2 linked regions of the Macaca mulatta genome follow. The protein of the gene in region 1 interacts with the protein of each later gene in a biochemical or structural test. Links are inferred from orthologs where the notes say so. Each region holds a gene or a part of one and is shown on either strand. Other genes may lie near its edges. The genes, in order: SEMA4D and CD72.

Evidence for each region.
Region 2: the proteins of SEMA4D (region 1) and CD72 form a complex in vitro, tested with the Homo sapiens proteins (2 studies listed by BioGRID and IntAct). The link is inferred for Macaca mulatta from reciprocal best matches to the Homo sapiens genes SEMA4D and CD72.

Annotation. Positions count from the first base shown.
Region 1 is NC_133420.1:120,172,455-120,176,936, forward strand, and holds the start of SEMA4D (semaphorin-4D), read right to left. Parts: upstream 2,976-4,482; 5' UTR 2,811-2,975; intron 1-2,810. UniProt on the Homo sapiens protein: Cell surface receptor for PLXNB1 and PLXNB2 that plays an important role in cell-cell signaling. Regulates GABAergic synapse development. Promotes the development of inhibitory synapses in a PLXNB1-dependent manner.
Region 2 is NC_133420.1:64,082,489-64,085,745, reverse strand, and holds part of CD72 (B-cell differentiation antigen CD72), read right to left. Parts: intron 549-3,257; coding exon 403-548; intron 1-402. UniProt on the Homo sapiens protein: Co-receptor of B cell receptor (BCR) that plays both positive and negative roles on B-cell functions. Recognizes the Sm/ribonucleoprotein (RNP) self-antigen ligand, and coligation of CD72 and BCR inhibits BCR signaling.

The sequences.
Region 1 (4,482 bases):
ACAGAAGCTGGAAAGTGAGCCACAAGCAGCAAAGCAATTTGCTTATCCTAAGGATCGCCTTAATTAGCGTGCCGAAATCACCACCCGGCTTCCAGGGAAGGCCCTGGCACACCCTCTCCACCTGACTGAATCAGCAGCTATCTCCTCCTAATAAATCTCTGCTTTCCCATGTCATCTCCCAACAGCAAAGTCCCCAGCAAACCTCTCCCTGTCGTGTGCAGGGGAGCCTGCTCCTCCCTTGCTCTACAAGCTCAGCTCTTGAGTGACACCCTGAGACGTCCAGGACAGCCCCGGACCCTGAATGGCAATAGTGATAGGGATGGGGATGCAATGGGCAGGGCTGAGGAGCTGCACCTGCCAAGCCCAGGGCGGACCCTGGCCCAGGGAAGAGAGGACCCATCCCAGGTGCCTCTGCCACCTCCCTTCTCACCTTCCAGTTTTCTTCCTGGAATCGTCCAAGTTCAAAGAAGAAATAACTGCCCTGGTTGGGAACAGCAGGCAGCAGCCTTTCTCTCATCAACTAAGCTCAATAGTCAGCCCATGGCACGTTTATTCCTATATTTCCACATGGCAAGTTTCACCCCCATGGGTCCTAGCTCCAACCCCGGAGCTCTGGCTCCAGGGGATCAGGAGGAGAATCTGCAACCAACCTCCTGGACCCAACCATCCCTCTCTCCCCACCAGAAATGGAACCAAGAGAGGCAGAAGCCTGAACAGGCTCAATCCAGAAGCACAGAAGATAGAGAAAATCATTGATCTTTGCAATGCATTATTGATTCTGCTGTTGTGCTGGCAGCCGCGGATGTTCCCTCCCTCCTCAGTCAAAGCCGGCCATTAGCGCGCACTCCCAAGCTTTGGCCTGGACGCACCCGCTTGGTGTGGGGAAAGTGGCTCTAGATAACACCTGCCTCCAGTGGTCCGCATGGAAAGGACTGTCCACAAGTGGATGATGTCACCAAGGACATCTCCCTGGCCCCAGACCCACTGGACAGCTAGTGCAACATGGTCGCTGGTCTTGCACTCCAAACGCTGAGTGCCCAGGACCCCCGGCTCTCAGAGAGGGTCTGTGCAAGGCTGCATTTTCAGCAGACTCTGGGTGTGCTTGTCAGGAGCTGGGCCCCCTCCCATGGAGTGCCTCCCTTGTGCTGTGCTGCAAAACCCTGGGCTAGCATGGCAGCTGGGGCTCGGCTTCCCCACGGTGGCCTTTGCCTGTCTGCACTCTGACATACAGCCACTGAGCTCCTCCGTCTACCAACTCCTGAGCAGCCCACCCTCCTGGGACCCCAGGGCTGCTCCTGGCACCAGTGATGTGTTTTTATTTCTTTGTTTGAGTTGCTGAGTGTACCATGTACACTTTTCTCAGTCTGAAGGTCTGGCCTTCTGGGGGGGGCAGTCTTTGCCCACAGAAACAGGCCAGCGCATCCCTCATCCTCCCACCCCAGCCTCCCTGAAGGGTATGCTGAGCCCGCCTGCTTTCTTCTTCTGGCTGACGACTACCAAGACATGATATACACAGACACCAACTGTCAAAACGACAATCAGGGCATTATCATCTCTACCAGAATCCTGCCCCTGCACTGGCCAGAGCTGCCTGTTTCTGGGACACAGTAAACATTACCAAATAACCTCGCCTGGGCAGCCAGCAGGCAGGCCCCAGGCCTAGGACACGTATGAGGTGACAGGCCACTGGTGTCACTTCACCCCCAGGAAAGGAAACTTCCGTTCAGTGGCGCCTGGTGGATTTGAAAAGACTCAGAGCAGCAGGGTGAGATGCTTGGCCCCAGGCCCCACGTCCAGCTTGGCCTTCGGGGGCCTGGCCACCCACGAGCCTGGGATGTGCTCAACACAGAGTGAGGTTTTCCAAACAAAAGCAAAGCAACTTCATGTGGCAAACGTTCCGGAAAGCAGGACACAGCCCTCAATACCAGGCCTCTTTTGACGCAAACTGCCCACCTACAGACTCCCATTCACCCACGCCCGCACCTATCCCCCAAAATACGAAGCCAGATAAATAAAGAGGACAACCACGAGCTCAATTCTCCTTTACATGTTTTTACTGGCATAACCCCAGTAGAGCCAGCCCCTTGCAGCTCACCAGGCGGCTGCAACAGGTGCAGCCCAAGCTAAGGCTTGTGGTTCTCCTGGGTTGTTCTACAATAATGCAGCCAAAACCCTAAAGGAAACCGAGGCCTGCAGCTGCAGCACTCACTGCCAAGGCGGCGACCTGACCACTGCGGCCCAACCTGCCCCACCTGTCTGAGTGCGCGGCGCCGGGTCCAGTGCACAGGGGCCGCGGCCTCCGCAACCAAAATAGAAGCCCGCGGGGGCCCGGCCGGAGCCCGGGCTGGCCGGAGCGAGGCCTGACCTAGCGGGGCCAGACCGGGCGGGCCGGGGCGCGACGGGGCCTGGCCGAGCGCGCCGCCCCCTCCCTGGCCGGGGTCTGCAGCGCGCCCCCGCTCCCCCGCGCCCAGGGGAGCCACCTGCGCGCAGGGACTGGGGAGCCAACCGGGAAGGGGAGAAGGCCGGGAAGGGATCGCAGAGGGGTTCAGGGGGTCGGAGGGGTTCAGGGAGGGGTCCGGGTAGGTGTCTCCGGGAGGCGTCCCGGGAGGGGCCCCGGGGGGATCCAGGAAGGAGTCCAGGGGTCCGGGGGATTTTAGAAGGGGGCTCCTGCAGGGGTTCGAGGAGGGCCCCGAGGGTCCGGGGAGGAGCCTAGAGGTGTGGAGCAGGGGCTCCGCGGAGGGTCCAGGCCGCCCCCAGCGCACCTGCCCAGCCTCGCGCGCCCTCCCTCCCGCGCCAGCCCAGCCGCTTACCTGGAGCGCGCCTCCTGCTCTCGGCGGCTCCCAGCCGGGCGAGTTCGGGCGCCAGGAATGGCGGCGGCGGCGGCGGCGGCGGCGGGAGGCGGCCGGGCCAGGGAAGGGGCGGCGGGGAGGCCCGGCGGCGGCGACTGTGATGCTGCGGCGCGCGAGGGCGCGGAGGCCGGCGCGGGGACGGAGGGCGCGGGGCGGGCGCGCAGGCCCCTCCTCCGCTCCCCCTCCCTTCCCGCCTCCTCCCCTTTCCCTTCCCCTCCCCCTTCTTCTCTTCCCTCCCCTGGCCCCGCCCCTTTCTTCCTCCTCCCTCCTCCTCGCCCCTGTTCACCTCCCTCCTTCCCCTCCCCCAACCTCTCTTTTCCTCTCTTCTCTTTTTCCTCGTCTTTCTTCACCTTCGTAACACTCTTCCACCTCTCTCCCCTTCTTCCCACTTTTGCTTCCCACTCCTTCCTCCTCACCTCCCATCTCTCTTGCCTCCCCGCCAGGCCCAGAGGGTTATCCCTCAGCCCTGGCTTGGTCTGTGCTGAGTCAAGCACCCTCCCAGAACCAAGAGGTGCCCTGTCACCCTCTTCCTCACCAGCTGTTAATAGACAAGCTTGCCCCTTCTGGGGTCCTGGATGAACCCCACCCTTTCCAGGCCTCCCCCAAATCCCCCAGGTTTTTTTCACCCCCAGACCCTGAGCCAGCTCTTCTGAGAACCTGACCTGCAGTGTGGGTGTGGCACGTGGCACCCAGAACACTTGGCTGCTGACTTTGGGCAAGAATATTTCACACCGGACTGCTCCTATTCCCCAGGAGCAGGGGCTGGCACCACCTGGAGGCTTGGTTTCCCTGAACCCCCATGCTAGCCTTTTGCTAAACGTTCGTTTTCCACTCTAGATGGCAAATGGTCCTCCTGTGAGGTTGCTGGTGAGGCGTGTTTGTGACTAGCCCATGGGTTTGGGGATCTGGGGGCCCTCAGAGATGGTGCTCCTCCATCCAGACCTCCTCCCTCTGCCCCCAGGAGAGGTGACAGGGCTGGCACGGTGACTGGCCAGGCCGGCAGGCCTATTGCGGAACACAGTCCTGAGAAGGGGACTCCGTTCCTAATGGAACCGGCTAGGATTTCCCCTAAATGTGAGGGGTTGGGGAGCCCCTCTCCAGGCCAGGTGATACCTCCCTGGACTACAGACTGCTGTTGAGGGCCAGGGGTCCTGAAGCTGTTTTCCTGCTGAGCACTGCTCTGAGAGCCAGAGTTTACAAATGAAGCCTGTCCCAGGCCCAACAGTCACAGAGTTAAAGACCCAACAGTCACAGAGTTCCCTTCAGGGGCCTCCTGTGGTTCCTGTGGTTCAGTGCCGGAGCTCTGACAACAGGGCTTGGGCCCAGCAAGGACTAAGATGGCAAAGCTGGTGTCAAGCAGGGTGGGGTGCAGCATGCACCCCCTCCTCCCTCTACCGCGTGGCAGCCACCACCCTCCGCTGAAGAGTCAGGGCCTGGAATCTGATAGACTCCCTTGACTCACAGCTCTGCAGTTTCCAAGGTAACCTCAGGCCTCAGCCCTCTGTACCCCGCAACGGTCAGTGTGGTCATCCTGGAAGGTTTGGGGAGCACGGAAAGAGAATGGCAGGTAAAGCCCACTGCACTGTGTGCTCAGGTTCAGTGCTGGTGACTATTACAAGAAAAAACTAGAGGA
Region 2 (3,257 bases), about 56 Mb from region 1:
GACTGTAGTCCCAGCTACTCGGGAAACTGAGACAGGAGAATTGCTTGAACCCAGGAGGCAGAGGTTGCAGTGAGCTGAGATTATGGAATTGCACTCCAGCCTGGGTGACAGAGTGAGACTCTGCCTCAAAAAAAAAAAAAAAAAAAAAATGTAGATATGGTTCCTAAGTTTCTACTCTCATGCCAACTCTAATCAGTTAGTAGGGGCTGCCTGGACCACTGTGCTGAGAAGATGCAGAGGTTGTTTCCAAGCTCAGAGTTCAAGAGTATTGTGATTCTCAGTTTCTTCCACGGAAAAGGAATGGCCACCCCAGCCATGTATGCACTGCCATTCCTGACTTGATGACATATGTCCCTTTACCGAATAGTACCCACCATAGTCTGTGAGTAAGGATATGCTTACTGATTGTTGATAAATTTCACTGAATGTGGCCAGCTTGGAAGACAGAGTTTCACAATGTTTTTGGCTCTCCTGCCAAGTTTTCGAAGTAGGTGAGATGTAAAAGCAGCTTTTCTGATGCACTGTCCATCCCGTCGGACAGCAGGTGTCTAAAAAGCAGAAAGAGTGTGATAGCAGCAACAGTTGGGATGAAAGTAACTACTCAGCAATCTTTTGCTAACAATATTCTCCTAGGGCTAATCTCAGCACCTTCATGGACTTCTATGATCTTTGCAATCTTTCTTTCTTTTGCATCCCCTGGAAACACCGTACCTGTCCTTACTTAGTAAAAAGACTTTAACATTCAACAACATTACTTCTTAGCAATCTAGGAGGTTTGTCTTAATAGGGCTAATTTTATTACCCCAATTTCTGAACAATTGCAGTCCACCCTGACACTTTACCTAACATCTCTTGGGCCCATCTCCTCCACTCCCTAAAGCACCCCCCACTGCACATCCAAGACTTCCACTCCTCCAGCACTGGCCCCCTCCTTCCCTCTCCAATTTCCTACAAGCAGAAAATGTTGGGTCCTGTTTTGCAGAAACAGCTCTCTCCATTTCCCTCAAAATTTCTCTTCTCTGTTCTTCTTTTCCTGACTATCCATAAGAAATAAATATCCCTCTTTCTTCAACATCCTACATCCCAATCTGCACTTCTGATCCCCAGACCACCTCTCTCCATTGCTTTGTTCCATCAGTCCTACCTTCATCATTCAAAAATCATTCACTCCCCACTAGCTCCCTCTGTTCTCTCTACATGATCTCATGTCCCCACCCTGCTACTCCCTTGAGTTACTGTCCTATGGCAACTTAAAGGAATAAAAAGAAATCCCTGCTGGGCACAACGGCTCACATCTATAATCCCAGCACTTTGGGAGGCCAAGGCGGGATGGATCACCTGAGGTCAGGAGTTCAAGAGCAGCCTGGTCAACATGGTGAAACCCCACCTCTACTAAAAATACCAAAAAATACCCAGGCACTATGGTGCACACCTATAATTCCAGCTACTCGGGAGGCTGAGGCAAAAGGATCACTTGAACCCAGGAGACAGAGGTTGCAGTGAGCCGAGATCACACCACTGCACTCCAGCCTGGGAGTGCACTTTAGTCTCACAGAGTGAGACTCCACCTCAAAAAAAAAAAAAAAAAAAAAGAACAGAACAGAAAAGAAAAGAAATCCGTATGGCCAAATGGAAGAAAGTGAGGGGATAAGTGGAACACTGAAAGGTAGGCAGGGGTGTTGGAAGCTATGTTAAGGATTTTTTATTTTTATATTATGAGAAAGAGAAAGTCAGTGTAGGATTTTACACAGAGGAATTTTGTTCACTAGCTATATCCCAAGTGCCTGGGCACAGTGCTAGAACATATTATCTGTTATGTATTCCATAACTGTTTATGTAATCAATTAACTGGAATGCTCTAGATTGGGATGACATGATCAGATTTTTGTAAAGAATTACCCTGGCTCCAATATGAAGAATGGACTGCGGGGAGAGGAGTGAGTAGGAAAAACATTTAGAAAGTTGTTGCAGCTATCCTTGCAAAAGATGAGGATGGGGAAAATCCAAATGGATTTATAGACTTGGTGATGGGAAGTGGAGGGAATTCCTCTCAGAGTGGAAGGTGAGGGCATGTGCTGAAAGTGAGGGAGAAGGAGTTATTATGGAGAGCAAGCTAACCACTGCAGAGGTTGCCAGGCAGTGCTGAGAGACTACAGTCTCAGTGGCACTGAGCAAAATGATTCCACAATTTGTCACACCTTGGTGCTGACTGTGGGCAGTTGGGTTCATCCAGAGTTGAAATTTTGCCCATCAGGTGCACTAGAAGGATAACGGAACAAAGAAGCGAGTGAGCCATGTGCGGTGGCTCACGATTGTAATCTCAGCACTTTGGGAGGCTGAGACAGGAGGATCGCTTGAGCCCAGGAGTTCGATACCAGCCAGGGAAACATAGTGAGACCTTGTCTCTATTAAAAAAAAAAAAAAGTGAGTAGTAAAAGTGATGGGCTCCAAACCCATGATAGGTAGGGAGAGAAGTGTGGACAGGAGACAGCTGATGGGAAGGGAGGAAAAGGGGAGTCAGCAGATTGGAGGCCTCAATGAGATCAAAAAAGTTTGGGGAAAACCTGGAGGAGTGGTGGGCAGCTGTGATCAGAGTGGAAGTCTGAAACCATCCTTTTGCCAGAAGAGCAGTTTGGGATGTAGAGGTCTAAGGTGCTGCTAAGAGAATGGGCAGCCCTGGCATGGAACTGATGATCACAGAGGTTCAGGTTAAGGAAATGAGGGCAAGGGGCGTCTGCACATAATCTTGCTGTCTTATGCCTGGGGAGATCGACCAGATGACCCCAAGCTAGACAGAGCCTAAACCTGATCATAGCCCAAAAACACCCCAGTCCCCTTGGGCCTGGCACCTTGCCTAGACCCTCAGCCTGTTTTGACACAGCCTTGCCTCTTTTATGTGTCCCTTTCCCCATCTCCACCTACTGGCTGGGGTCCTGCTTTCAAAATGAATGGACACCCCATCCTAGTTCCCTACACCACAACTCCAGGCTCCACCTCACTGTGAGTGCTGAGAGCCTCACTGCCTTGCCCCACCACCAGGTTGCACTCCATGTCAGTCAGTCTTACCCTTTGGGGAGATCTCAGCTATAATGAAAATTAATGAAAATTGAGGACCCTGTCTTTAGAAAGATGTGCAAACTGCCAAGTTCACATCCAAATTTGGGGGCGTTCCAGATCTTTGTCACTGATATCAACAGGAAGAAACCATGGACAGTGTGATTTGGACTGCTGGCTGCCATCCTCCTCTACCCCACAGG